4 linked regions of the Lonchura striata genome follow. The protein of the gene in region 3 purifies or fractionates together with the protein of the main gene of each other region. This does not show direct contact. Links are inferred from orthologs where the notes say so. Each region holds a gene or a part of one and is shown on either strand. Other genes may lie near its edges. The genes, in order: ENO1, TPI1, SOD1 and HSPE1.

What was found.
Region 1: the proteins of SOD1 (region 3) and ENO1 fractionate together in Homo sapiens (co-fractionation; 3 studies listed by BioGRID, with this or other methods). This does not show direct contact. The link is inferred for Lonchura striata from reciprocal best matches to the Homo sapiens genes SOD1 and ENO1.
Region 2: the proteins of SOD1 (region 3) and TPI1 purify together in Homo sapiens (affinity purification with mass spectrometry; 3 studies listed by BioGRID, with this or other methods). This does not show direct contact. The link is inferred for Lonchura striata from reciprocal best matches to the Homo sapiens genes SOD1 and TPI1.
Region 4: the proteins of SOD1 (region 3) and HSPE1 purify together in Homo sapiens (affinity purification with mass spectrometry; 3 studies listed by BioGRID, with this or other methods). This does not show direct contact. The link is inferred for Lonchura striata from reciprocal best matches to the Homo sapiens genes SOD1 and HSPE1.

What each region holds. Positions count from the first base shown.
Region 1 is NC_134626.1:1,242,187-1,250,009, forward strand, and holds the start of ENO1 (alpha-enolase), read right to left. Parts: upstream 3,011-7,823; 5' UTR 2,908-3,010; intron 1-2,907. UniProt on the Homo sapiens protein: Glycolytic enzyme the catalyzes the conversion of 2-phosphoglycerate to phosphoenolpyruvate. In addition to glycolysis, involved in various processes such as growth control, hypoxia tolerance and allergic responses.
Region 2 is NC_134604.1:29,741,729-29,748,812, forward strand, and holds TPI1 (triosephosphate isomerase), read left to right. Parts: upstream 1-4,084; 5' UTR 4,085-4,171; coding exon 4,172-4,283; intron 4,284-4,928; coding exon 4,929-5,052; intron 5,053-5,127; coding exon 5,128-5,212; intron 5,213-5,338; coding exon 5,339-5,471; intron 5,472-5,580; coding exon 5,581-5,666; intron 5,667-5,792; coding exon 5,793-5,880; intron 5,881-6,148; coding exon 6,149-6,267; 3' UTR 6,268-6,718; downstream 6,719-7,084. Other genes in the region: USP5 (ubiquitin carboxyl-terminal hydrolase 5), read left to right, coding at 797-885, 1,081-1,272, 1,811-1,954, 2,108-2,253, 2,338-2,491, 3,136-3,220, 3,381-3,474. UniProt on the Homo sapiens protein: Triosephosphate isomerase is an extremely efficient metabolic enzyme that catalyzes the interconversion between dihydroxyacetone phosphate (DHAP) and D-glyceraldehyde-3-phosphate (G3P) in glycolysis and gluconeogenesis.
Region 3 is NC_134604.1:18,641,268-18,648,808, reverse strand, and holds the start of SOD1 (superoxide dismutase [Cu-Zn]), read left to right. Parts: upstream 1-4,529; 5' UTR 4,530-4,570; coding exon 4,571-4,645; intron 4,646-5,066; coding exon 5,067-5,160; intron 5,161-5,557; coding exon 5,558-5,627; intron 5,628-6,949; coding exon 6,950-7,064; intron 7,065-7,379; coding exon 7,380-7,490; 3' UTR 7,491-7,541. UniProt on the Homo sapiens protein: Destroys radicals which are normally produced within the cells and which are toxic to biological systems.
Region 4 is NC_134610.1:28,261,657-28,268,775, reverse strand, and holds the start of HSPE1 (10 kDa heat shock protein, mitochondrial), read left to right. Parts: upstream 1-4,102; 5' UTR 4,103-4,347; coding exon 4,348-4,350; intron 4,351-6,201; coding exon 6,202-6,366; intron 6,367-7,119. Other genes in the region: HSPD1 (60 kDa heat shock protein, mitochondrial), read right to left, coding at 1-210, 2,862-3,035. UniProt on the Homo sapiens protein: Co-chaperonin implicated in mitochondrial protein import and macromolecular assembly. Together with Hsp60, facilitates the correct folding of imported proteins.

The sequences.
Region 1 (7,823 bases), on a different chromosome or scaffold from region 3:
GCTCCCAAAACAGCAACTCTGCTATCTGTCAAGAGTTCTTTTTGCTAAGAGACCAGGGTGCAATAGCTCTCAGCATGCAGAGTGCTCTTAGTATGCACAGCACCTGCTCAGAGCCAAACGGAACCAATGACCAAAGAGAAGAAGCCACAGCTCATTAAAAACTTGCATTAATAGTTACACCCTGTTGAGAATTTACAGGAATATTTTTTCCTCTTAACTTTTTATCTTAAAAGGAAAAAAAAAATCCCCCTAGTCTTTTGGATACTTCTTTTTTCCCTTCTTACATTTATCCACTTCAGAAAAGTGCAGCCAGGGAATTCTTATGTAAGCCCAGGCACATTTTAAAAATCAAGTCATACACATGCCTGTAAGCCATCGACTGGCACCAAACCCAGCCCATCTGCACAGAAGAAAGCTCAGCCTCAGAAGCACAACTATCTGGAAGCTGGTTTCTTGGCAAGCCAATGTGGGTGGCAACCCTGTTTACAGAAATGGTCATGAATCCTTCCACAGTTACTGCAAAGTTAAAAAAACATGACCTTAGAAATGCTGCTGCTGGTTCACAGTCTGTGAGGGGGTAGTTGCACACTCTTGTTCCTCCCCCACAGCAAACTCTGCCCTCCCCAGGTCAAAAGCACAGGCAACCTTTGCTTCCCCCCTTTTGGCTTTCCCTGTCCCTTCCAGCTGTCCTGCCCCTGCGTGCTGTCTAAGATTTCAGTCAGACCCCCACACTGACACATGATCTGACTAAAATATGAAACAAGACAGCTTCTTCAAGCTGACCTTCATGCTGCCACTACCTAGCTTCAGTCAGTGAACACACAAGCTAGAAATAAATCCCTGCAAGTCTCTGCTTATCAGTCCCACCCACACTTAGCTCTCTGCAGATGCACCGAGCAATGGCTAACAGGAAGAATGCCCACTTATCCAAAAAGGCTTTCGGAGTTTATCACCTGCTAAACCTTACTTTCATTTTTAGAACCTTGGCTTTGCTACAGAATTTGAGGTGGCTCATTCTTTGAAAGCACAGCCAGTTTCCAGGACGTCTCAGTGCAGTGCTACAGCTGTTTGTTGACCTTCATGAAGGAGGCACTTCAGGAGCACACACTGCAAGAACTTCCACTGGGAATGCCTGTGAGGTCAGACATTACTCCATCCCTGACAAAGGACCACAAGTCCCTCCCTTCCCTGCAGAAAGAGGCATTTCACAGCACTGCATTACCCTAGAAATCCATGATGCTCCTTATGCAAACTCTCCACTCCTGTGTTCAAGAAACAATTCTCCCTTTGAGCTATAGGGTAAAACTGATGCTGTTTAGCTCACCACGATATATTCTGCCTCAATCAAATCAGTCAACTCATCCAGAACACAAGGGTCAGCCCGTGTGTGCACAGGTTTAACCACAGAAATGCTGACTGAAGGCAGAGAGGACAGCAGCACTGTCTGCTCAGACCTTTGTCCTGTGCCAAACACGCAAACAGCCCGGTGGTATTTAACGAGCACACTGCCTTAAACCTTTTCCTGCAGCATAATCTGCTGACAAGGTCACTGTCTCCCTTCAGGGGAAGCCACACACTCCAGCTTTCCTGGCCTGGCCTGCCCAGGAGCACCTAGAACCCCTGCCAGCTCTGAGGACCTTCTTCACTACAGCTCAAGTCTAAGAAATCACCACGTATTCCTCATCTGACCCTGCACAGGGAATGCAGTACTCTCAACTAGAGATCACTCCAATTGAAAATTATTTCCAAAGATGTTTTATAGGCAACCCTACTACCAAAATCTGTCCTTGTGAGCTATCTTGCAGCCACACTTCTCTAAAATCAATACAGGGTTAAGGCTGAGCACTGCAAGCATCTGAATGGAGATTTAAAAAGCAACACTAAAGTTTAGCCATAGAAATAACTGCCCTAGTGAGTGTCTTATTACAGGCATGCCACATTTATCAGTGGAAGCCTCTCTTGACACTTAAAGGTCCTTATGACCGTAACTCTCATACCACCAGTGCTCTGAAAAAAGCTGAGACCTTTGAGTGCACTCTATGAGATCCCAACGTATTAATTCCCCTGCCAAAGCTCTCCCTGAAACTGGACAAATGTGCACATTCCAACCCTGCTCCTCTCCACTCCACGGGGCATTAATCCACCTCTACAACATGATCCAACGGGTTCTGAAGGATGCAGACACGTTCAACCACTTTCTCTCTCTGCGTTTAGTAAGATGGAGGCCTGAAAGTGCGTTGGCTCAGCCTGTGGGCTTGGATGACAAACTTCAGTACTTCCTGCCGGCTCAGACAGCCACGGCCCTACCCTGTGACTCAGCAGGCAAGTAACGGAGCAGGAGAAAGCCCAGGGTCCTCTCTGGCAGCCCTGCACGAGGCAAGATGGTTAACAGGCAGCTCTTTATCCACACCTGCACATCCAGCTGCTGCTCCCCACCAACGCTGCCCTGGGGTAACCAGCACTTAAATACCCGCTAAGAGACCTCGGGCACAGATGCTAGCAAACGTTAAATATTTGAGATGGGAAGCTAAAGGACATCTACTAAAGAGGGGAAGGTCCAAATCACCACACGCAATCCGAGAGCTACTGTTAATGATTAAAAGAAAGAGGTTAAACGCTGTCTTTGAGGATGCCTTGACCCACCGCATCCCCCTGATTCTGCCCCCGCCTTGACCCACCGCATCCCCCCCGCTTTTAACCCCCACCCCCGCACACCGCCGGGGCTCAGGCCGCCGCAGGCCCTCCCTGCCCCGCCGGCGCTGCAGGGCCACACAGCAGCCTGCACCCCCGGGGACCACCGAGCCTCGGCCCGGCCGGGGCTCCGCGGCCGCTCCGAGGGGAGCGGATTCCCTCTCCGGAGAAGGGAAGCGCGGCCTCCGGGCCCGCGGGGCGAGCCGCCGCACTCACCGCTGTGCCGGCAGCCCCGCTCCGCAGCCCCGCCGCTGTCGCCGCCCCGGCTCCGACTGAGACCCAACGGCCCCGCGCGCACCCGCCTATAGCCGGCCTCGCGCGCAGGGCCCGCCCCGCGGCCGCGCCCATTGGCCAGCGCCGTCCCCCGCCGCGTCCCGATTGGCCGCGGCCGCCTCGCGCCAGCGGCGGGCTCGCGTGCGTGCGCTACGTGCGGCCGGGCCGGGGCCTCGTGGAAAATCCCCGCGCGAGGGGCGGGGCCGGCGCGGCGCATGCGGGCGGGGGGAGCGGGCGGGACCATGCGGAGCGGGCGCGGGGGGAGCCGTGAGGCGGGCATGGCGTGAGGGACGGGCGGCGCGGCTGGGCACCGGCACCGGCACCGGACACCCGCCTGTCCCGCAGCCCTGCCGTGGGCAGCCACATCTCACACTGCCCCAGCTTGCTGCGAGCCCCGTCCACCCTGGCCTTGGAGGCTTTCAGAGTTATCCTCCATCCAGAGTGCCATGGATGCCCTGTGCCTCACCACCCTCACAAGGAATTCCTTCCCAATCTCCAAACTAAAGCTGCCCTCTGTCAGTTTGAAGCTATTCCCCTTGTCCTGCCACTGCTCGCCCTGTGGGCAGTCCCTCCCCATCTCTCTAAGCTCCCCTCAGGCGCTGTAAGGCCAGGACAAGGGTTCTCTCTAGGCTGAACAATCCCAGTTCCCTCAGCCTTTCCTCACAATTGTGGCCAGTTCTGGGCTCTGCAGTGCAAGAAAGGCGAGGAATACTGGAGAGGGTCCATGGGGGCCACGAATTTGGGGTCGAGCATCTCCCTGATGAGGAGAGATGAGACAGCAGGGCTGGGGCTGGGTGGTCTGAGGAGACTGAGACGGTGTGGGAATAACGAGTAAACCTGGAAGGAGGAAGGCTGGAGCGGATGTGTGTGTTCCAGGAAAAGGTTAATTACAAGCACAATAAATATTCACTCTGATTTTGAAGTGAGTAACCATCACACTTCCTGGAGGGGAGAAGGAGCACTAAACGTGATGGCTGTGACAGCTCACACCAGTGTGCCAGCTGGAGCACAAACTTTTCTGAGTATGTAATAAGTTGGGCTGTGACACCTCACACCAGTGTGCCAGCAGGAGCACAAATTTTCCCGAGTGTGGAAAAGTTGGGCTGTGACACCTCACACCAGTGTGCCAGCAGGAGCACAAACTTTCCTGAGTGTTCTGGGATAGTGGAAGCTGTCCCTGCCCGTGTCAGGGCTGGGATGGTTGAGCTTTAAGGTCCCAGCAAGCCAAAGCATTCCGTGTTCTATCTGTGGGGATGTGGCAGTGCCAATTCACCCTGACTGCACCAACAAAGCTGTTTTATTGCTCACAGATCAGTGAAGTTCGTGGTGCTTCAGCCCTGCCTCGCCCTGTGCCGGATGTACCTTCTGGGCACATTTTTCTTTCCTTCCTGAGAACATCCCCTCGGGACAAGCTTAAAGTCTAATAAAGAGCAGAGGAAGTCTGCAGGATTGACCTTCCCGCTGGGACAGCAGCCTCTGCAGAGGGAGAAGTCCTGTGCCAGCCAGGCTGGTTTGTGACAGTGCCCCGTGTCCCCCATGCCCACTGCCTGTGGGGCTTTTGCCTTCCCTGCACATCCCTGTGGCTGCACAGCCATGAATCAGGTTGTACCCAGCTGAGATAAGGCACCACTGGGCAGGGAAAGCCCTTGGAATTAAGCTGTCACAGGTAGATAATTCTTTGAAGTGCCAGCCCCCCCAAACTGCACATTGTACCCCTTAGAGCTGTGTCCTTGGCAGCACTTTATCCTGCAGCCTCACCCTGCCCAGTGTGAGGGCATGAGAGGGGAACATTCCCTGTAAAAACACATTCCAGATGCTGGAAATCCTAAAGCTGCATTTTTATGCTGGTTAACTGCTGGATTAGAGATGCTTCACTATCTTTGCACTTTATAAAAGTGCCTTTATTGCCATGCAGGAAAATCACACAGAGGTGTCAAATCTTATAATGAGCTAAAGAAAATGGAACACAAGAAAGCCTGAGGCTGAGGGAAATTAAATATTGTAGTAGCCAGCAAAGGCTGATGCTGAAGTACAGCAGGGTGCTCTTTGGGGACAAAACGTTTTCTGAAAGGTCATAATTAGCCTGGTGGGAGGCAGAAGTGGGGTTTAAAGGAACCCCCTGCCCAGAGCACTGAGCTCTTGCCCTATTCCCATTCAACCAAACCAAAGCTGTGAGGGAGAAGTGGCTGTGGGAGACCAACCTAAACCCCTCCTTGTGAGAAAGAACCCAGAACTTGCCAGGAGGAGTTTAGGTCTTGTCCCCTGCCTCTCCCTCCTTCCCTTGTGGGCACAGGGGCAGCACAAAGCAGATTTCCTGGTCTGGAGCCTGGGCAATGAGCTGAGGGCTCCGAGGAGGTACAGCTGGGGACACGGGGCTGCAGGCAGCAGTGCCCAGGCACCCAGGAGCCTGGCACTGATCAGGTGCTGGTATAATTTTTTCCTGGATCAGCAGATTTAAACTCGCACTGTGCCATACGTGTTAAAATTAAACTCAGAGCTGATATTAAAAGTGCTGCTGCTCAGCTGTGTATCCTACCTGATTTTTCTTTTTGTCTTGCTTTAAAGAGCATCCCCAAGGCTATGAGATTTCTAGGAAGCAGAAATTTCTTTTGGAATCCAAGCTTGTTACCAGTATCAAATACTCAGTATACTCTTTAAGTATTTCATGGTTTGGAAGGGGCCTGTATGGCTAATGGGGTGGACCCTGGGGACAGAGAGTTTGGGGACACATAAAGCCAGTGCTCCCATTCAACAGCCCACACAGGAACACTCACACAGCAGAACTGCTGATGGAGCAGGGGGAAAAACCACTGGCACAGACCTGGCTCACAGGCATCCACCACCCAGAAATAGAGAGCGACTCTCAGGAGCAAAATCCCTCCGCTGCAAGGCCTCACATTCCCTGTGCTTTACAGGGAAAATTGGAGTGTGATAAATGTCAGTTTTTTGGTGGCTTGCAACACGCTGATGAGCACAGAAGCCAGCCAGGCCAGCCTTTCCCTGCCCTGTTTCGAGCAGTTGGGCAGGAGCCTTCTGAGCTCTGCAGAGTGTGAAATCACTGGTTCAGGCAGCTGAGGGTGCCAAGGCAGAGCAGAACCACCACAGATCAGAACTTGTTTGCGATGCATTCAAGTGCTAATAACCATTAGCAGCAGCAGGGCACATTCCAGGGCGTGAGCTTTCAGAGAGCCTTGAAGCACTTCCTGCACGCTCAGGGACTTCTCTCTCCCCCCAGTGCCTCCCACAACACCTGAAGATGTGCCTGGGTGGCTGCGTGAGCACCTCCCTCACCCGCTGCATCCGACACCTCTGCAAGTGCCAGCCTGTTTGTGTTCTGAGCAGGTTCCCTTGGCAGGGCAGCTCTGCATCTCAGGGAGCCAGGCTTTGCGACTCGCTTCAGTCCAGGTGGGACCTCCAGAGGGAAGCCACTGGATGCAGACGTGAGCACTCTGTCACTCAGATTTCTGCTCTTCATCCACCCTGCAGATCCTGGTGTTTTTACGGACCCTTCATTGGAAAGGTAATGGCAGAGTCTGACTAACGCTCTTTCTGGGTATCTATTAAATTGTGGAATGACTGTTTGAGATGTTTTCTTCCAGGCGTTCAGAACCTCCTCTGACTTTACATCCTTCTCCCCCACTTTTCATCCCATTTTTTGCAATGCCTTTGTCTCACAGCTTCACCCTGCAGCGAGGCACCTTTAGGCGCATGAATAGTGAAATGGCTGGAGGTGACAGACCTCATGGCTTTCTTAATGCTCTTACCTTCCAGCACTTCCAGCTTTCTTAATGCTCTTAACTTCCTGTCTTCATCATCCTGTCTTCTCCAGGGCTTTAGTGGAGGGCTGGTTGGTCCATACTGGTTAGAGTGGGTCTGTGTGCAGTTGTGTAGTGTGGCTCCACCATCAGCCTCCCTGAGTACACGAGGGCTGTGTGAGACCCTCGGGTACCAGGCAGGATATTCTGTACTACTGGAAATGCTAATTTAAATTTACAACTACCACATCCATCTTCAGGGCACAGGGAATGGTCATTTGGAAGGGAACCAATGCATGAATCAGGGGACTGATACCAAAGAGTACATTTCCCAGGAGCTGATGATCCGATACGGTGATTTGTAGGAGACTGAAAGCTTCTGAACCAGCTGGATATTAATTGCCAGGAACTCTGGATCCAAAGGCCATAGCTGCTTGTTGCAACCATGCTGAAACCATGCAGTAATTCTCTTTATGGAGGCCAGAGTGCAAGTCCTGCACTGCTTCTCACAGAGTGTCTGAGGCTCCTTGCTGAGCAGGGCCTTCCCCCTCTCTTTGAAATGTATTCCACTATAAAGGGGAAAGCAAGTTAGGAATTGATTTGCCATTAAGAAATTGTATTTGGTGTTTAGGATTGGGTTTTTTTTCTGAATGATAACACGAAGAAAAAAAAAAGAGTAGTCCAATAACAACTCATTTGTTTCCTTAATGGGTGCAAAATAGTTATGTAAAGCACAAGAGTTATCAAGCAGGATCCTCTTGCCACAGAACAGGTACAACACAGACAGAGAATTTAAATTTCCTTCATGTTGTCTTCCTGCCTTAAACATCAACCTCATTCTCATGGGAAACACTTCCAGCTCCCATCATCACTTTTAGCTCCTCAGAGTGCAGTGGCGAGGATGGACTGTGGGCACTTTGCTCCTTCTGAAAGTCCCTGCAATGACCTTGCCTGCAGAAAAAAACACTGCAGAGCTGAGCGAGCAAACACTGGGCCCTGATGACCTTGGGAAAGCAGGGACTGGGCCCTTGGTCACCGAAATGGCGTGCATCTGTCCCCAGTTTGGATCTCTGAATGCATCTCAGTGAGGTCTGCTTTGTTCAT
Region 2 (7,084 bases), about 11 Mb from region 3:
AGCAGCTTTCTGCTGTGATGCTGAGTATTCTTTTGCAATGAAAGTCATGAAAGAGTTGGAAGGGCTTTTCTATACTCCATTATTAATGGATTAATTAATTAAATTATTAAATTCTCTACTATTAAGCAATAGCTACTATAAACAAATAACACATTGAAAAGTAACATTTTGTTTTAATTTTTACTGAGTTGTATTCAAACACTTTACTGTCACTTGATTTAGTTCTACAGCATCTTGCAATTATCACCTGGTAATGAGTATCTGTCTCACTTAGAAGTGCTTCTCCCTTCACAAACATTCCCGTCTGTTTCATAGCTTCCAGACACTTTCTCTCTCAAATTGTCTAACTAAAAAATGTTTTATTGAATTTGGTTAACTTAAAATTCACTGCTTCTGTTTCATATCCAAAAAAGCGCTCTTATGCTTGAAAGCTTGACAGTTCCTGCATGTTCTGTTGCTCTAATAAAAGATGTTATTTCCACTACATTCCTTAAGAGTTAGACTTCCAATTAAACAAAATCTGACCAGGTTTGTAAAATACAGGATTGGAAGGTAGAGCATATGTACAATTTTTTCTCATCTCCAAGATTTGCATTCCATCTCATCAGGGCTTCTGTCTTAGAAATAGTTCTGTGTTTGAGGAGCTTTAAGCTCAGTATAGAAGAACTGCACAGACAGGTGTGTCCCCCAACTTGCTCAGGACATGGTTCTGTCCTGCTCACTGATTTATTGGATCAGCTAGATACCCTTAGTCTTTGCTGACCAGGTATTTAAAAATATTACGTGTCTCTTTCAGAACAACACGGTTCGCCTCTTTCCCAGACTATCTGGTCATCCAGATCAAGAAGTTCACCTTTGGTCTGGACTGGGTGCCCAAAAAACTCGGTAAGGAGGATGAGAAGTACAGAGCATATAGGTACTGGGAGTCACATATGGATATTGTGGTCACTGCTGCCAGGAGGAAAGTGACTATCCCAAAAGTTGCTGCAGGCATCCCCAGGGACTTACCCTTCTAGATCTCCCAGCTGAGTCCTTTGCTTCTGCCCCTACGTGGAGGCTGAGCAAGACCATATCTTGCAGATGTTTCCATTGAAATGCCAGAGGAGCTGGATATCTCTGCACTGCAGGGAACGGGGCTGCAGGAAGGAGAGGAAGAAATGCCAGACATCGCACCCCCACTGGTGACACCAGATGAGCCCAAAGGTAGCCTGGGGTTCTATGGCAACGAGGACGACGACTCCTTCTGCTCCCCTCACTTCTCCTCTCCAACATGTTAGTGATTCTCCTCCTCTCTTCCTGATGCCTGACTCATTTCCTTGCTCTCCTTGCCTTGTGTCCCATGCTAGCAGTTTCCCACTTGCTCAGACTTTCCCTGTCCTTTTGTCAGCGATTGCCAGCTGCCTCCCTTGCATGCCTGTTATGCAAGGGTGTTATGCAAGGGGGTTTATTGATTCCTGTTCTGTGCAAGATGGGGTGGCGTGTCTGGTGCATTTAGAGGAGACAGAGCTGGGATTTATACAGCATTTAATTGGTAGGGGTATTTAATTTTTACAAACCACAGTGGGAGGTTGGGTTCAGAGCCTAGGGAAGAGCCAGTGCTCCTGAGTTCATGGGTTGAATCATTTTGTTCTTTGCCTGTGTGTGAGACTGCTCTTCTGAAGAAGAAAGGTGGCTGAGAAAAGCCATGAGATGGAAGGTGGTGTGAAATAAAGCTAGGAAGTGGTGGCTTTGGAGGCTGTGTGACATGAGACAAAATGGAGCCAGCAGGGATGGGTGGGAGTGGGTGGCTCTAACTTCTGTCTCCCCACAGCACCCATGCTGGATGAGTCGGTGATTATCCAGCTAGTGGAAATGGGCTTTCCCATGGATGCCTGCCGCAAAGCCGTGTATTACACAGGGAACAGTGGGGTTGAGGCGGCCATGAACTGGGTCATGTCACATATGGACGATCCAGGTATGAGGCCATGGGCATGGTGAAGCTTTCTGCTGCTTCTGGGCTGTTCTTGTGTCCTACTACCACAGTGGAAAACTGAAGTAGTTTGGACTTGGGCTGTACCCTCTTGGAGAGATCTGATTACTCGGAGCTGTGTTGTGTTTCCTGCTGCAGACTTTGCTAACCCATTAGTTCTCCCTGGATCCAGTGGGCCAGGGTCAACTATTGCCTGCCCAGACCCTCCTTCGGAAGACAGCGTGGCCACCATTGTCTCCATGGGCTTCTCCCGGGACCAGGCAATGAAAGCGCTTAGAGCCACGGTGAGAGGCATGGGTGACATCAGAGTGCAAGGATTTTCTCAGGAACAGGAATTCTCAAGTTCACTGTCGTCTTCTTCCTTCCAGAACAACAGTCTGGAGCGTGCTGTGGATTGGATCTTCAGTCACATCGATGACCTCGATGCAGAAGCTGCTATGGATATCTCAGAGGGGCGCTCGGCAGCCGAGTCCATCTCTGAATCCATCCCTGTGGGTCCCAAAGTCCGCGATGGGCCTGGAAGTGAGTTCCAAGCCATAGGAATGTGGATTTTGGGGTGCAAATTCAACATTGCTTTGTCATTCCTGATCCATGCAGTACTGCAGGTTTTAGCAGCAGCAGCTACTGCAGAGCTGGTCTGGTTGTAGAGGTGGAAGCAGGGAGGAGGAGGGAAGGTATGGCAAAGTAGTCTAGATCCTTCAGGCTGGATGAGTGTTAACCTGGAAGCCAATAAGAGAGAGGTTGGGGAAGGGCCATGAAGAGAAAGGAAGGGCTGTGCTGCTTTTGTCCAGTGGTTCTAGGAGGCTTTTTTTGCTCTCTTGGTTCCCACTGAAAAAAAGTAGTTCTGGTTTGTGCACAGAATTTGTGCCAGTGGTGCTTGGCTCCTGGGTGCCATAGGGAGGCAAAATCCCTGCCTTACCCATCCAGGAGCCATGGCCCAAATAGAAAGTTGGAAGAGACAAGTCTAAATGGAAGTCAGCATCTCCCATTTCCCTCTATGTCTGGCCTTAAGACCACTGACAGTCACACTTGACGGGGGATCCAGTTCTAAATTATTACCCAGCAGAGCCTCCTTCAGGGATCCTTCTCTAGAGAGGGCCTTGCAGAGGATGTTAGGGTGTAAGACATCTTTCCCTGACAATCCTCTCTTCCCTCCTTCTTTCAAGAATATCAGCTGTTTGCCTTCATCAGCCACATGGGCACTTCAACTATGTGTGGACATTATGTTTGTCACATCAAGAAAGATGGCAGGTAAGGATTTCCACAGTGTAAGGGAACTGAGGTACTGGTTTTAAATCCCCAGCCTGCCCTGTTTCTTCAGAAGTCTTGGGGGGTTGGGACTGAGAGCAGGCAATCGAGTTGTGTCTTAACCACGAATGGCATTCCTGAGCTCCTCTTACTCCTGTTGCAGGTGGGTGATCTACAACGACCAGAAAGTCTGTGCTTCTGAGAAGCCCCCCAAGGACCTGGGCTACATCTACTTCTATCAGCGGATTCCCAGCTAGAACATCCTCTTGCTGTGTGTGGTGGGGGGAAAGTGGGCTGAAGCTGTCGGGGGGGGAAAGGGGTGGGGGCAGTGAGGGTGGGAGCAGGGTCCTTCTCTTCTCTGCTGCTTTCCCCGGTCCCTTCACGGCCTCTCTGTGGAGACACGGGGATACAAGAGTTCACTGACTGATCGACTGGGGGCTGGAGCCCCCGTGGACATGAGTGAAGGGGGTTTGGGGGGTTGGGAATATCTGTTTCTGTAGGAAATGTCCTCACTGTCCCCACCCCCGTGCCACACAGCCCTAGTGCTTCGCTGCTTGGTGGGATGATGCCACCTCCTTGCTGTCCGGAAGGAGAGGAGGGGGCTCGTGTGTACGTGTGGCTTGTGAATGGGGGGGGTTCCTCCTGCCCGCCCTGTCGGGCGGGGGCGTGGGGCGGGCAGCAAGGCGGGCCACGGGCAGCGCTTCCCCTTGTGTGCCCTTGAGATGCCAAAATACACGAGGGACAAAATAAAAGCCGAAATTCCCCCCTGGCTCCTGTCTGAGCCCGCCTGGCCGCGGGAGCGCGCGGGCGGGGCGGGGCGGGGCGGGCCCGCGCGGGGCGGGGTGGGCGGGGCCTCGGCCGCCGCCGGGCTATAAAAGGGCGCCGGTCTCCGCGCCGCCGCCGCTGACCTTCGCGTCTCCTCCGCCGCCGGCCCCGCTCCCGCTCCCTCCCGCCATGGCGCCCAGGAAGTTCTTCGTGGGGGGCAATTGGAAGATGAACGGCGACAAGAAGAGCCTGGGCGAGCTCATCCACACGCTGAATAGCGCCAAGCTCTCCGCCGACACCGGTGAGGGCGCGGCCCGCACGTAGCGCACGTCCCACACGGCCCTGCGGAGCCGGGGACCGGGCCCGGGCCCGGGCGGGGGAGCGCCAAATGTCAGAGGGCGGCGGGGCCTAAATATAACCCCGCGGCTAAATATACTCGCGAAACCGGATCCGGGCTGCTGCGGGCCCGGCCGCCACGTGCGGCCGACCCCCGGGGACCCCGCGCGGCGGGCCCGGGCCTCCCCTCGGCCTGGCCCCCGCGCCCTGCGAGCGGCGGTCTCGCAGCACCGAGCTGCGCTGCGCCCGCCCCGCCGCCGCGCCCGGCTATACCCCCAGGCGCAGCCCGGTTCGGCCAGGCCAGGCTGCAGGGTGGGATTCTCACGCGATCGTTCATTTGGGCACTTCCCAAGGGACCCCTGTGAGCTGGCCGTCGGGCTGGTGTCGCCTGTCCAGCCCCCTAGAAAAGGCTTTCCTCCCTGCTGTTGAGTAATCGGATAGCGGGGATTGCCCTGTGGCAGAGGGGCCACCAAATGTCAGTGAGGAGGGGCAGGCTGTGCCTTCCCAGGAGAGAGGGATGACCCCTTGGGGCTGGGATTTGGGATCAGTGGCTGGGTACAGTTTCTGCCCTTTTCCTGTCACAAGGGTTACAAGGTGCTTTGCCTTGCAGAGGTGGTTTGTGGAGCCCCTGCCATCTACCTAGACTTTGCCCGTCAGAAGCTCGATGCAAAGATTGGCGTGGCAGCACAGAACTGTTATAAAGTACCAAAAGGAGCTTTCACAGGAGAGATCAGGTGAGCCCAGAGAATAAAGTTAGGGTGCCTCTGGGATGTGAACTTCCTCCAGTGAGTCATCTCCTTTCTCCCCAGCCCAGCAATGATCAAGGATATTGGAGCTGCATGGGTGATCCTCGGCCACTCAGAGCGAAGGCATGTTTTTGGAGAGTCTGATGAGGTGAGTGGCCTCATAGAATGGAGACATGGTCCAGTTACAATGGGTCTGCAAAGACTGAGAAAGTGAACAATTAAAACATACCTCCAACCTGTTTTATTGGCTGCCTTGTTTCTTTTCCGTTCCCAGCTGATTGGACAGAAGGTGGCTCATGCTCTGGCTGAGGGCCTTGGAGTCATTGCCTGTATTGGAGAGAAGCTGGATGAGCGAGAAGCTGGCATAACAGAGAAAGTGGTTTTTGAACAGACCAAGGCTATTGCTGGTAAGAGGAAAATGAAATGGTTGATTTGGTTTTTTTTTTAGCCATTTTCCAGCTCTGCTCTTCCCAGTATGGGGGTATTGTGCTTACCTCTACCTTCTCTCCTCCCTAGATAATGTGAAGGACTGGAGTAAAGTGGTTCTTGCCTATGAGCCAGTTTGGGCTATTGGAACTGGTAAAACTGCAACTCCCCAACAGGTATGAGCATGGGAGGTGCTGCTTAAAGGACCAACTGACCCTTCCCCCTCAGGAAACCTTGTCTTTGGAAGGGAACTGTGTGCAGAATGGCTCATGCCTCAGTGTGACTCCTGCGTTGTGTTGCAGGCTCAGGAAGTTCATGAGAAGCTGCGGGGGTGGCTGAAAAGCCACGTGTCTGATGCTGTTGCTCAGTCAACTAGGATTATCTATGGAGGTGAGTCTGGAGCGACTTTCCAGGGCAGGAAGTGCTTCATTTCTCTACCTGTTGCTGCAGTTGTACATAATTTCTTCCTGGCAAGGAAACTCTTGACTTTCAGGGCATAAAGAATCACCTTATAGCTTATTTGGGTAGCTTGCTTGGATAAATGGGAGAGTCTTGCTGTCTGTAAGAAGTGGCTGGTACCTTGCCAGTCCTGCCTTTGCTCTGGCCCCATTTTCCTAGAGCTGGCGCATCTGACCTTAAAACACTGCTCCCTCCTTAGGTTCTGTCACTGGCAGCAACTGTAAGGAGCTGGCCTCTCAGCATGATGTGGATGGCTTCCTTGTTGGTGGAGCTTCTCTCAAGCCAGAGTTTGTGGATATTATCAATGCCAAACACTGAAGCACCCCATGAGGAGCTGTCCCTTGTGGTAAAGAAGTGGAAGCAAGAAGGGACCTTTTGTTGCACACATCTCAGTACGGAGGCCTCCCTTGAGGCTTTCCCCCTCCACAGTCATTGTTCTAGATGTTCTGCTAACCACCCCCACCACGTCAGAGTCCTGTCTGCAGGAGCCTGTCTCGGCAGAGTCTTGACAAGTCTCCACTCTGAGCTGAATCCTCAGTTTCCTGTTGACCTGTTCAGAGCTCACAGCCCACCTGGCCAGTATCTCTCCCTTTCCCTGCAGCCCTGCAGGGACAGGGAGCCGCTGGTGCTGCGGGGAGGAAAAAGGAACCACAGTCTCTTGCATCCTTCAGCTCCATCAGCAAGGAATCTCTCAGCTTAGACCCTTGTGAGATGTCTTACCTCACCTGTGTCCCGTACTGAACAATAAATGAAAAACAGAAAAAGCAAAGGTGTGTCCTGGATCTTACTTGGAAGCATCTCGGGGACAAGCAGCATAGAGAACTTACTGCTTTTTGAGGTGGCTGGTTGCAGAGAGGGTTTTGTGGGCTTTTCCCTGAGAGCCCACCATTACTCCAGTAGGCACTACATGGGTTCAACCTGCATCTTGCTTCTGGCATATAACAGCTCTTCTTTGGGCCTGTGGTGATTTTGTTATATCTGTGTATCTATTCCAGTAGCTGCTGGAGCACCTGGCTGTTCCACCAGTGAGCCAGTCTTCCCTGGCAGGCTCAGTAATGTGCTCATCCATGCTCTTTGCCTGTAAGCCTGGTAATTGACTTTGCTCACTCAATGTAGAGTGGAGCAGCTCAGTCTC
Region 3 (7,541 bases):
CATCCGGTGTCACTCCCTGACCCCGAACTGCCTGCACCAAACAACCCCAAACTCTTCCCCCTGCACCGTTTGCAGTCATCCACATTGCCACTTTTGTCCCCAGCAGAGCCCACGCTGAACCTGAAAAAGTGTAAGAAGCAACAAGTTGGTTCTAGCTTCTGCTAAACACGTTTTTCCTTTCCTGACTCTATTTTCTGTACAAACTGTCCTTAGAGGTCAGTTTCTGAATGCCCAGAAATGTAAATGCCATAGGGGGACCTTGTGGCTCTCCACAACTCCCTGCCGGGGGGCAGGACAAGAGGAAAGGTGCCAGGAGGCTGCAGTGAGGAGGATTTTCCTCTGGAGAGATGCCTGGCACAGCAGAGCAGGGCTGCACCCTCTGCCTGTGCCAAGCAACTCCCTCGGTCTCTCAGACCTGAAGCACGGCATGTCAGAGCGGTCCTGGCCAGAAAATCCCTGCTCTTCAAAGCGTGGCTTAGCCACAGGCTGGGATTAGGGAATAAACACAATCAGTGCTGCTCTCCAGCAGCTCCAGCTGCGGGCAGAGCGGCACTGCCAGGCTGGGCACTGCCAGGCTGGGCACGGCCAAGCCCTCCCCACGCTGTGACACAGTGGCTACCAGCCAGGGACTGTCAGCAGCCTTAAATTGTCCCACCAGGCCCACGTGCCCGCCTGGATGCCCCAGAGTGCCAGGCCTGGATGTGGCTCAGCACAGACACCGCTTCTGGAGATGCCACAGCCTCTTCCAAAGAAGCCCCACAGCCCGGCCCTGGCAGAGCCCGTGGCAGGGGCTGAAGTCTCTGCACAGAGCTCAGTGTGGACGGGAACTTCTGCTCCTGCCTCCAGCTCCAGCAGCCACAGCCCAGGCCCTGGCCCTGAAGACACAGAGGTGCTCTGAGTACCTTTTGAGAAAGTGTTGCAGCCACATGAGCCCGCAGGGTACAAAGTCTGCAGGCTGCCTCCTGCAGCACCCTTTGGCCCTTTGGCATGGCTGGAGACTGCGGAAATATCTCCACACAGATGCAGGACATGTAAATACTCATGAATAAATACTCCACAGTGCCATGGAAGCTGTATGAAAATATGTGGCCAGTGCATTTTCCAGCTGCAGTCCCACTTTTTAATTGCTTGTATTAAGGCTTTGGCCTCATTTTACTGACAGCTCTACAAACCCAATGGTGCCCAACCATGCAGAGCTCCCAGAAAACAAGCCACATGTTTAAAACTCCAAATAAAACCACATCTTTGTTATTCTGGACACCTGTCTGCTATATTCTGTTTGTCCTTCCAGCTTTCCTGCAGAAACAGGGTAGTTTACCCTGTGGCAACATTTATTTTCTAATTGCATAATAATTAGCATTTTCCCTGTGGTTTTGTACTTTGCATCTCAAGGATTACCCAACAGAGCTGAGTTAAATCCAAGCCACCTCACCCTTGGTGTCCTGACACCTGCTGTACCACTAAACTGTGCCACTGTGCCTGTGGCAAAAATGAGAGTGCAGGGCAGTTTGTGTTTGAAATAAATCCAGACGAACCTCCTGGATCTTCCCTCTGGCACACGCTCACATGGGCTGGGACTTGCAGAGTTTTTTGTTTAGTTTGGTTACCAGTGTAAGAATTTCTCAAATAAAAACTGGCAATAAAGTCTAAAACTAAGCTACGCTTTCTCATCACTGGGAATGAAATCCTTATCCAGTCATAAAGCATGACAAGGTACAGGGTTTCTTTGGACTTTGTTGATTTTTATCCAAGTTGATATTTTGAAATGCACATCCCATAAATATTGTCTCTATACACAGACACACAGTGTTTTGGTTGCATTCCTTTAGGTGCCTTTCAGTGGCCAACTAACATTCCTGAGTGCATAAACAAAAACACAACAATTTTCAGATGTGCTTTTTGGACAATATTCTATCTTTGGCCAGTTTCAGAAAGGATATTTCCATGCTCTAGCTTAAAAACAATTTAAAACTCCAGCTAAGATACAGTTTGATTGCGCTCATCCCTCTGTGCCGCAGCTCCAGAAACCCTATTTTCCTCCATCCTGGTTTTCCTGGCTCTGTGGTCCCAGTTTCAGCCTGTCAGGCTGTTTCCATGGGGAATCCTGTCCAGGCTTTGGTGCTGTGTGGAATACTTGAAGCACTTGGTGAACTGGCAAAAGTAGCAGGAATATTAGAAATAATCAAAGCCCTCCATGGGCAGACCTTGGCAGAGAGATGCAGCTCTCGCCCCACGGTGGGGACAAAGTTCTCACAACCAGGAGGAATTGTTCATAACACACAACTCTTGATCAGGACACAGGGAGCCCACAGTGAGATGAACATTCCAGCTCTGTGCTTCTCCCAGAGAATCACCACAAGCAGGAAAAATTATTTATTTGCACCACAGGAAACACAACTCTCAAAATTCCCTCTTCTTTTTGAACCTGTATAAAATCTCACTGAGGAATTGTTCCCTCAAGATCTTTATCCTTGCTCTAGGCCTTTTCACGGGACCTGAGGTTTGGGATTTTTTGCTACTTTGTCACATTTTGCTGAGAAGTGTATTAACTTTTCTCTACATAGCTTAGGTTGCTGTTAACCTGCATCACGCAGCAGTTATTTCATCCTTTAAACTGGCAGATTAGGAGAGAATCAAGATGCCAAAACTGCCTTTAAACTGGCAGATTAGAGAGAATCAATATGCTCTTTCTCTTCTGTCCTCTCAGCTCTGACTCTGATATTCCAAATAATAAAATAATCACGTCACCATTTGATGTGGCTGGGTCAAATGATTATTTTTGTGCTGTCAAACACCACGTTCAGCTGCACTGGGAGGGGGGTGGGGGTGGATTTTCTCACCTGCTGACAAGATTTAAGAAAATAAATGAGTTTAAAATAAGTATGTGGGACAAAACATAACAAAACCTGCCCAACTGAGGCACCCCAGGTATCCTGACACTGATTATTAACGCCATCAGCCTCTGAAATTACTTTTGGTTATTTCACTTCGCCTATGAAGAAACCTGACACATCTGGCTCTCACCCATCTGTTTGTGCCACACTCGTGTTGGGGCATGGAGAAGGGCAGATCTTGGAACTGATCTTGTTTTCCAGGGAGGAAACAATAAACCTGATGAAAACATCAGGGCGGGTTTGGAGATCAGACTCAAAGTAAGAGAAAGCCTTGCAGTGATACGGTGATAAGGGAAGTAAAATGAGACATTACCATGTTTAAGGAGTTTAGAAACCTCTTTAAATGAAACAAGGCCACCTCGAGGGCACTGGAAGCTCTCCTCCCGATGGAGCAGGCTCAGGGTGCTGCTGTTGTGCCTGTTTCCTCACAAGTGACTGAGTCTCCTCTCCAGGCACAGCAGGATTGACACTCCAAGGAGTGTTTCTCTCCCTTCCTGGACAGGAAGTTTGGGCTGGCTTTCTTCCCAGCATCTTTCCAGGGTTGAGCTACAAATCCCAATGTGTCTCTCCATGTATTTATCTGGATCACGTCTTTTTCACCTGGTTTGGTACTCTCCTGCAAACAACTCTCTGCTGCAGTAATGTCACCTGAGCCATGGCTCAGGTCTTTTGAGGTGTGAAACAACCACAACTGCTCTGCATCCTTCCCCGGCCTAATGAGGCCCCAAACAAGTCACTTAGAGCTACCTGGGCTTTAAGTCACTTATACCTTAGTCACAGACAGAGATTAATAAAAACCCCCTTGGGCAGCAGAGAAGGGGGGATTCTGCTCCTCTGTCCCTGTGCCCAGGTGAGACCCCACCTGCAGAGCTGCCCCAGCCCTGGGACACAGCAGCAGCACGTGGAGCTGCTGGACAGTCCAGAGGGCTTCAAACTAACACAGAGTGGGTTTAAATTGGATATCAGCAAGGAATTGTTCCCTGGGAGGGTGGGAGCCCTGGCACAGGGTGCCCAGAGCAGCTGTGGCTGCCCCTGGATCCCTGAAGTGTCCAAGGCCAGGCTGGACAGGGCTTGGAGCAGCCTGGGACAGAGGAAGGTGTCCCTGCCCATGGAATGGGTGAGTCTGGATGAGCTTTTACGTCCCTCCCAACGCAAACCTTTCCGTGATTACCTAAAGCTCCAGGTACTCTCAAATCTGTGATTCTGATTTAAGTTCCAAACACCCTAAGGGCAGAGCAGCTCTAGCGAAACGCAGAGCTGCTCAGGGCAGCCTCACAACCGCACTCCAGTTTGGGATAAGAACGGAGCATCCGCCCGCCGCCCCGTCACAGCTGCGGCTGGAGAAGGAGCAGGGTGGGGACACAGCGCTGCTGCTCGTCCCACGGCGCGGCGGGGACACAGCCGTGAGCCGTGCCGTGAGCAGCACCTCCCTCTCCGGTCCCTCTGAATCATTCCCGGTCCCGGTCCCCGTTATGCGCCTCCCGCCACCAGAGGGCGGCTCTCGCCGCCGCGCTCACCGCCTCTCGGCCCCGCCTCTCCCACCTCCCCGCACCGCGATTGGCCGGGCTGCGCGCGGCGCCCCGCACGATTGGCTGCGGAGCCGGCCGCCCCCCCTATATAGCGGGAGAGAGGGCGGGGCGTGCCGGCAGTCCGCGGGCGCTGCGGGCGGGCAGAAGATGGCGGCGGTGCGGGCTGTGTGCGTGATGCGGGGCGAGGGGGCTGTGGAGGGTGTCATCCACTTCGAGCAGCAGGTGAAAGCACGGCCGGGCCGCTGAGAGCTCTCCCAGGGGATCTCCCTCTTCAGCCTCCTCCCTGTGGCCGGCGAGGCGGGAGGGAGCGGGGCGGGCTCAGCTCGAGGGCGCTGCGGTTCCAAATGGCCGCGGCCCTCAGGAGCTGCGCCGTCCCCTGTGGCCGGCCAAGGAGCCACGGCCGCGGGGTCACTCGCGCTCCTCTGTGACAGTACGGGATCTTTCTGGAAGGCCCCGTCAGATAACAGGCACTCCATGTGCTTATTGATAAAACAGGTAAAAGAACGCGTTTGAGGGCGTTAAACGAACGCAGACATTCTAGGTCACTATCGCGGGCTCGTGGCGGGGCCTTTCTGCCACTTTCGTTTGACACGGAGCCGTGTAATGCCAAAGTCTTTGTGGTGACAAATGCTCTCCTTTGAAGAGTACCGGACCGGTGAAAGTCACTGGGAAAATCACTGGATTGGCCGATGGGGAGCACGGCTTCCACGTCCATGAGTTCGGGGACAACACCAATGGTAAGATGTCTCTCCGGGCCTTTGGGTCACGGCGGGAAGGTGGCTGCTTCGCTCCGAAGAGCTGCTCGTGGTGTTGCAGCAGCAGCTTGGGTCTCATGGCTGCAAGTCTGTGTGAGGAAATTGTGGCCGTTCCCGAGGAATTGCTTCCTGGCTAATACTCTGAGCATGTTGAGGCTGGTGGTCAAGACCTGACATACCAAGCACTCACCTGAACTCTTGGGATATCTCAGTGTTATGAAATAATAAAGCTTCTGGCTGAGCCTGGGACTTGTAAGTCTGTAGCAGGTGATTTATCTCCAGGGGATTAGCAGGGAGAGGAGCTGTTTGCTGTTGCTGGGAGCGGTGTGGGAGCAGGAGCTTTATCCTGGGATCCTGCTCTGACTGTGCTGTGTTCTAGGGTGCACCAGTGCAGGCCCTCACTTCAACCCGGAGCAGAAAAAGCACGGGGGTCCCAGTGATGCCGAGAGGTGAGTCCAGGGCATGGGCACTGCTGGGGGCTCAGATGTACCAGAAAATCCGTGGGAATTCCTGCAGGGTTCCCAAGATCACTTAGCCACACTTTAGTAACCCCAGCAGCTTGTTTCTCTGAGAGTGTGCTGTGAAATACTTTTCTGAGGGCATTGTCTGGTTTTAGCTTGGCCTGGGTGGAGGGGACAGTGAGGGCCTGATGCTTGTTCTGGGTATCAATACTTGAGTGGGATGTGAGACCAGGCTCTTCCCTGGTAGCAGCTCTCACAGCCCAGTTCCCTTGGGTGGGTGCCAGAGGAAGTGGTGTGCCTGTGCATCTGGGGAGTGGCGCTGGGAGCAGGGCTCAGGCAGCCTGGTACTGGCATCACCCTTGGAATGCTGACATGGATGGTTGATAAATCCCACCTGAGCCACAGGCCCGGCAGAGCTGGATGTGGGCCAGCTGCTGCATGACACAGCATGAAATGTGTGTCGGGGCCCTGGCAACCACTGCTCGGGGCTAAAGGTTGGGAGTGCACGAACATTGTGGCTTCTGGAACCTTGACAGATCTGCTCCTGGTGTGGCTGTGGGCAAGGGAGTTCCTTAGGAAGATGCAAGAAGTGGATCTTCCTTTTATCAGTGTACAAGAAACAACTGGAGAGAAGCTTTCTGGAAGCTAAAATCAAGCAAATTTCTTAGGGGAGAGCTGCCATTAACCCAGTTTTGTAGGACTTTGAATTCTTGCAGAAAGCTGGTTGTCAGCCCTGGGCTGGCTGAGCTGGTCACCTGGCAGGGATGTGTCAGTATTCCAGGTTCTGAATCTGGACAGAGGAGCCTGACAGAACACGATCAGCTGCATTTTGAGTGAATGCTGTGCTTAGGGCAGGTGTGCAGGACACAGCACACCAGCACATCCAGAAGTCCTGTGAAAATTCCACTGCTCGAGGCTCAGTTCTCCTGGCAAGCCTTAGCAGAGATGTAGCTCTGATAGAAGCTGTATGGAAGAGCAGTATGCCAAGTGATGGGGCAATGCCAAACTGGAATAATCATCCCTGGTACTGGCTGGAACTGAGCAGTTCCTGCATTGCCTTTGACCTGCTGCCTGACAAACTGCTTCTCCTAATCCTCCTTAAACCAAAAGCCTGCAGCTGTCTGTGGAACAGCTGAGCTGTCATGGACAGCAAAAGCTCTGAGAACAGTAGCAGTGTTCACCAAGTTTGCAGGAAAGGTTGTTCCACTGGATTTGGGAGCCTTTGTTATGCTGTAACATAAACTCCCAGCCTTCCCTTGGAAACGCTTTCAGTCCAGGCCACTTTCTGAGTTTCCTGTGTGTTTGTGCAGGCATGTGGGAGACCTGGGCAATGTGACTGCCAAAGGAGGCGTGGCCGAGGTGTCCATCCAGGATTCCGTCATTTCCCTCTCTGGACCACACTGCATCATTGGCCGCACCATGGTGGTGAGTGACAAGGGAAACCTCAGAGCAGAGCGAGGGGATGTACAGCCATCCCCATGTGTTTTAAGTGTGGCACTTCACTGCCATGGACCCCAATTCCTGCGAGCCTTCTGGAGATGTCCCTCTCTAATTCTGCCCCTTCCTGCTGTGGGTGCCTGAGTCGCCCTTGGTCAGGTCTTGAACAGGTCCAGCTGGAAGCTTGTGGCACAGAGATCAGATTGGCATTGTGTAATTAGTTTGGTGTTGCTGCTGCTGCCAGGAGCAGCCATGATTGGAGCTGCACTTAGATCAATTAAGGTCCCTTCAATTCTCTTGCAGGTGCACGAGAGGCGGGATGACCTGGGCAAAGGGGGCAATGACGAGAGCCTGCTCACTGGAAACGCAGGGCCTCGCCTGGCCTGCGGAGTGATTGGGATTGCCAAGAGCTAAGTGTGGTACCTGCAGTGCTCTTCATTGCTGCTCTTACCCTTCCCCTGCAAG
Region 4 (7,119 bases), on a different chromosome or scaffold from region 3:
AAAGCCTTCCTTGGCAATAGCTCGTGCAAGGACTGTTGCAGTAGTGGTACCGTCTCCTGCTTCTTCGTTGGTATTGTTGGCAACATCTTGAACTAGCTTGGCTCCTATGTTTTTGTATTTGTCTTTCAAGTCAATTGCCTTTGCTACTGTCACACCATCTTTTGTCACTTTGGGACTTCCCCAGCTTTGTTCAATAATAACTGTTCTTCCCTAGGGGGACAAAAACCAAATTCTAAATCCAAGCTAATCCAAAGCAAGTTACTCTCAAGAGCTCAACTGAAAATTTTGAACAGTCACAGCTTACACGGGGCATTCAGCTGGGACTTCTCAAACACTTACTTTAATACTAAAGTTCTCCTAAACCAGAAAAATGGTTCAAAAGCTTTATGTTTCCACAGAATGACACTCCATTCTTCAGCCATAATGCTTAATACCTGCTATTAAGTAACACTGACTGTAGAGAAAAAACTGAAGAGATTCTCTCTAATGCTAATATTTTACCCCAAAATTAAAAGTACAGCAATTCAAATAACCAAATTTTCAAAATTTTAATCACATCACAATAAACATTCTTTGTGATTAAAAAACAAGTAATACAAAGCTCAATTTGTTGCATATGCTGTAAGGAAAAAAAAAAAGCAGACTTGCAAACCTTAATAGTGATTAGCAAAGACAACTGAGAATACTTCAAATTTGTGTTCATGTGTTACAGTAATTTCTCAAGCACTTCAAGTTACCAAGCTTTTCTCATCTTAGCTCTCGCCTGAATCCAACTAACAAGCCGGAGCATTGTATCTAACAGGCAGAGCTAACACAGGAACCAACAGCTGTCCCAGTCATGTTCCAGTCGGAGCTGGAGGCAGCAGAAACTCGAGCCACCTCTGGTTTAGTGCTGCCCTGAAACTCCTCTGCTATCCTGGCAGCTGGAGCTGCTGGAAGAGGGAAGGGAGCCCCAGCTCAGCAGTGTCCCTCCCAGCCAGCCCTGCACAAGTGCCCTCACTGGGTCTGTCAGGTCCTGCTCCGAGCTGACCCCGCCGGCTCCTGCCAGAGCCCAGGGTGGGGATCAGGAGCCAGGCAAGGATTCAGTGCAGCACCCAGCGCTGCGTGCCCTGTGCCCCTCCCCTGCTCGGAGCCCACACACATCTGCCTCAAAACCGAACCAGCTCTGGCTGCCTGCCAGGCACGAGGCCTCGCTGCTCCTGAAGCACAGCACCCCAGCAGCTACAAGGAAAGGTTCTGCTTCAGTTACTCAGGCTGAACCAGGGGAAGAACTCATTGAAATTTACCTCTGTGCCACGGAATAGTTATGATAAAATAATAAATTATCTTATTTGACCTGCCCATCTAAATATAAATGTGATTCAAGTATAAGAAAACTCCTCTGTGGAGGAGCATGCTACCAGTAGGTACATTTTTCATATAACGTCTCCTAGTTTGCTTAATTCTGTTTTGTATTTGATATAGTCTTATTCTTAATGGTTGGTTTATAGCTCTGAGAAGAGGAGCACAACAAAACCTAGATAACAAATCACATGAAAGGGCTTGCTCTTTTAGAAGCAAAAACACCTGTCTGTGTTCCTGAAGAAGAGAACAAACACCACCAGTAACTGCACAGGCATTTAGGAATGGTCTGGCTCCCACACAAACCAGTTCTGTTCAACATACTGGAGCACTACCAAAAGATTGTGTGAGACTGCAAACTGGGCTCCTTAAAATGTAGAGCAGTGCCAAAGGAGGTTTCCTCACCAGTGATGTTTCTTAAAAATGCCAGAAGCAGACTCAGGCACTGCAGCACAACCCCTCAATTTTTACAATACATGAAGAACAGCATAATGAACAAAAATCCCCTAAGGTTACACTACGTTACATCAGCAACTGCCCTTTAGCCAGTGGATTAGAACTGTGCTTCGGCATTCAGAAAGCAGCCTGATCCAAAAAAACAAGAGTTAAATTAACCAACTACACTTAAACTTTGTTCCTTCATGGAAGCAGTCACGGCTTCCTGACATAATTGATCCTTCATCTGCTCAGCTTTATGGCACTTTTGCCTTTGAATGAAAGTGGTAGAGCACTAAAAATGGGCAGAAAATACATGAAATAATGTTACAGAGGACAAGCAATCCTCAGAAGAACTACCATGCACATGCTATTATAGGGAACAAATATTCACATAACCCCCAAGAAAATCCATGTCTCTTCCTCAAAAAGAGGAATCTCATTTCAAGCCCTACTGCACATTGCATGACTATGCAGAATACCACAGCTGGTTTTCCAAGAGACCCAGATCTCCTTTACAGGACAGAATATAGGGTAATAAATGCAATACCACAAAATTGTACTTAGGCTGGTAATACTCACCAGACAATTGAAAACTCAACATCACACTTTGGCTATTTTTAAAAGCTTATTAATATTTAAAAGGTAAACCAATATAAAATTTTAATTTGTTAAACAAACAAAACAAGCATCATAAAAAAGTCCAACCAAGCCACCCACACGCTGATTAACCTACCCCACGACACAGACAGTTACATTATCTACTGCACTGTTACAGGTTATCAACTGAGCTGGTAACACATTATGCACAACTCCTTAACCTTCAAACTGTTTAGACGAATATAATGTACCTTTCACAAGATTCCAAGCAATTTTACTTTGTTACTTCAAAAAGCACGTGCACTATTGTCCCACTTTTGGTGGACATGAGACTACAGCTGCTTGCAGGAGCCCCATTCCCCTACCCTTTCGCGTTGCAGGTCTGCAAATACAATCGTGCAGCTTCACCGAGAGAAACTCAACAACTGTTCTCTGTTACAGTTATTTTCAGCCAGGTCTAACATAAAGGCCAAATCTTCCATTACCTTTGGCCCCATGGTGACAGCTACAGCATCTGCTAAAAGATCTACTCCTTGCAGCATCAGAGCTCTCGCGTCTGCTCCGAATTTCACATCTTTTGCATAGGCTCGTGTCAGATGTGGGGCGAGGGATCTGGACACTGGTCTTATCTGACGGAGTACTGTAGATAAGCGGAGCATGTCTAAAATATTAAAAGAAAGGTAGAGAAAAACAAAAGCATTATGGCTTTGCACAGCTACTTCTGCAGGAAAAGAGGGGTAAGAGATTCAGGAAGTAAAGCAGGCACGATGAATCTTTAGTTTCTCGAGTGGCTGAAATCGCGACACACAAGTAACTGCGGGTACCGGGCCGGGTGTCCCCGATGCTCCCGCCGAGCCCCGCGCGGCCTGCAGCACGTCCGATCCCTCCCGCCCGGAGCGGGGCAGGGCGCGGCGAGGGCAGCGCGGAGCGCCCGCGGCTCCATGTGCTCGGCGCGGGGCCGCGCCCGCCCGCGGCCGCAGCGGCAGCTCGGGTACGGCTCCCGCAGCCCGCTACGCCACCAAGGGCGGACAGGAGAGCGACAAGGCCGCGGCCGCCACCCGGGCCCGCAGGAGCCCCCGCGCCGGGCAGGGCCCCGCGGGCACATGGCCGCCGCACCAGGACACGCGCAGCAAGGTCAGCGCCGCCCGCCCCCCGCCGCCGCCGCCCGGCCCGCCGCGCCACCCCCGGCCCGCAGGAGGCGCGGGGCCCGCTCCCGCCGCCCGGGCGCACAGCCCGCATCGCGGCCGCCCCCCGCTCCCGCCGCCCGGGCCCGGCCGCTCCCGGCGCGCGGCCCCCGCGGGAAGCGCGGCCGAAGGAGCGGGGGCCCCGTGCCCCTCCCAAGCCGGGCAGGGCGGCGCGGGCCCGGCGCGCCGGGCGCGTTCCCGCTCACCTGCGGCAGCGCGGGAGCAGCACCGCGGCTCTGCGGACTCGGGGCACGTCTGGCGCGGCGGCGGCGGGCGGCGCTCGGCACTCACCGCCTCGGCCCCGCCCCCGCGCCGCCGCCGGCCCATGTGCGGCTCCGGCCGCCCGGCCCCGGAACCAGCATGGCCTCCGCGCCCGCCCACAGCCCGCATGCCGCGCTGGGCCGCGGGCTACAACAGCGCATGCGCCAAGGGCTCGTAGCATGAACTATTCATGTTCCCGGGCCCGCCGATTCCAGAACCTTCTGGAACGCTCATGCCCGCCGCGGGTCAGAGGTGAGCTGACCTCACTTCCGTGCGGGGCCCGGCCCGGGGCGCCGCGGGAGCTGCGCGGCGGGCCCGCCGTGCCGCCGGGGCGCAGCCGTTCCCGGGGCTGAGAGGGGGCCGCAGAGGTCGGAAAAAAACGGCGGCTCTGAACGTCCCCGGGGCCGGGGGTCGGGTCTGCTCCGCCCCGGGGCGGGGCGCCGGTCGCGCATGCGCCCGCCGTGACCTTCCTCACGTGTGTGCTGGCGGCGGCGCGGTCACTCGGTGCGGGCGGCGCGGGAGCAGCATGGTGAGTGCCGGGGCCCCGCCGCGCCGCCTGCCCATCGCTGCTGTGGCCCGGGCCGCCCCGCCCCGCGTGTCTGGCGCCGCGGGGACAGACGGCCCGCGGGGCCCCGCGGCGGCCCCGCTCTCCCCGCGGTTGGGTCGCTGCCGGGGCCCCCGAGCAGCCGCGGCCGCGCACGGCTGCGCTCGGTCCCCGCGGGCAGCGCTGGGTCGCGGGGAGGCGCGGGGAAGGTGGAGCCGGGGTGGCGGCGCCGCAAGGTCACGCAGTCCGGGGGGCAGAGGCGACTCCCCGGCAGGCGCGGGGGCTGCGGCCGGGACGTGGCGGGAGGTTTGCCGGGGCTGGCTGCCTTTGGCTGCGCAGACACTCGAGCTCAGGGTTCCTCCCCGCCGCAGTAACGGGAGCAGCCCCGTGACAGCAGCGCCGCAGGGCAGGGCCGCACAGGCCACGGCGGGTCTCTGCGGAGATGGAAACCTGTGCCACGCTCCAGAGCTCTCCTTCTGTACGTTTAGTGAAATTTTTTATAGGGAAGAAGGAGAGTTTGACTGAGTTGCCCTTGTTCTTGCAGTGATACTTGGTTCTTGTGATGATAATAACGTAAAGAATTAAAACTTGGTGTAAAATGTTCATGATCATTAGTCTGGCAGCTTTATTTTTGGTAAACGTAAAACAGCTCTTAAAAAGGAGGGTCAGCGATATTATTTTCACAGAATGAAACGTACAGAACTGGCAGCCTTTTCCCTTGGTTAGCTTTCATCCCTGTGCTGCTGACAGCAGTCAAATACATCTTCTATGAGCTGCCTTTTGTTCGCGCTCTGCCTGTGGCTCTGCTTTCTGCCACTTCTCAAGTGTGTGTGGATACCGGTGAGTGCCAGCAAAGGGACACGGGTGCCAGGCCCTTCTGGCTCTTTCTGAGTGTGGCCTCTGTGTACCTGCCTAGTGGAGCACTAGCTCCATGTGACTTGGCAAGTGGCCATATCTTTCCTTCTAAATCAAAGCAAGTTCCTTCTTCCTGACCCCCGTGCTTTTGGATAAATGCATTTGCTGGCATTTATCTGGCCTATGGGAATTTGACTGCCGATTCTGGAATGCAGACAGGTAGCAGTAGGTAGTTGTAAAAAAACCCCAAAACTAAGCCAGATATGAGAGGAAAACCCAACAGCTTAATAAAAACCCCTCAACTTGACTCTGCTTAAACAGAAGCAGATACCAAAGCAATTGAGCTAGAAGGGTGCCTAGCTTCTCATTTTCAGGTTCTTGACCTAAACTTTCTTTTAATTTTTTCTGAATCTCTTTGTAGAAGTTGGGATAAGTAACAGCACTGTGTTCAGGCTGCAGATTCTCACCTATTTTTTTGAAAGCACCTGAGAAAAGCTGACAATGGGGCACCTGGTTAGACTTGTGCTTCTTTAATGTAAACCCTTTCACAAGTGTAGATGTAGCTCTCCCAAGGAGTCCTTAATCTCCATTAGATCTGGTTGTGAACTGGAGAAATGCGGTTCATATAATCAATAATTATGTTCGCCAAGCTATAGCAACTAAGGGTTTGGTGTTAAAAGCCTAGAGGCCTTTCCAGACAGAGGAGTCTGCTCTGTCCGAGGGCGGTTTATTCCCCAGCTGGAGTACATCTTCCTACGGCCGAATTGTCAGGATTTCCCAGCATCTGCCTGTGCCTTCAGGAGTTTCTGATGCAGTCAGAGCTGGTACTTGTTTGCTGCTATTAAAGAAGTGCTTAGCAGTTGTCTTACACTATTCATCTCTCTCAAAGGAGGAATCACTATGTGTTGGATTTTTAAAACTCCTTTTAATTGCAGTTTTTGTTGTAATGGTGCTCTTACTAATGTACAATTACTTCCACAGGCAGGAAAAGCATTTAGGAAATTTCTTCCCCTCTTTGATCGTGTGCTGGTTGAGCGATGTGCGGCTGAGACAGTAACCAAAGGAGGAATCATGATACCAGAAAAATCCCAAGGGAAGGTACTACAAGCAACAGTAGTAGCAGTTGGATCTGGAGGCAGAGGAAAGGTAATCACCCTGAAGCATTCCATTTGGTAGAACCAGTAATGGTGTGGTGGTCACTGGAATGTTGCCGTGAGAGTGGGATGGTTGTTGTGCAAAAGTGGTAATGGATGACTGTGATGGCTAAAATTGCAAGTGGGGATTTAAAAGCAGGTAGAAATCTCAAGTTGTCCTGAAATGAATTCCAGCATTCCTTTCATCATTTGTAAAATGGAGTGGAGTTTCTTTTGTAGACAGTGTTTTATGTGATACCATATTTCATCACATCTCAGCCAAAACCTTGAGGGACCAGTAGACTTCTTTGTTAAAATTACTACGTGCCCAAATGTCTGTGACTTGTGAGCAGGGTGGAACCCCAAAATGTGGTATTGGCTGCCTTGTGCTGTGCAAAATATCATTATCGATAAGGATTAGGCTTCTTGGACTAAAGAAAGTCAGCAATCAAAAGAAATAATTGTTGAATAACTGTTTGTTAATTTTGCACATTGGATATGCATATGCCAATAAGAGTTCACAGAAATGCCAGTGCCTGGGTGCTCCCACATCAGAAGGGCTGGTTCCCCACCAGAGCAGTGTTCAGTCAGTAGCAACACTGGAAAACAGGTTAAATTTCAGCTTGGGCACATTGCCTTGGCCTTCCTTTACCGTGAGTCCCTCTATACGTCCCAGGCTGGTTTGTGTCAGGATCTGATTTTTAATGGTTTATATTGTGAAAGGGTGATAATGTTTGACTAATGTGTTAATGTTTTATTTATAATA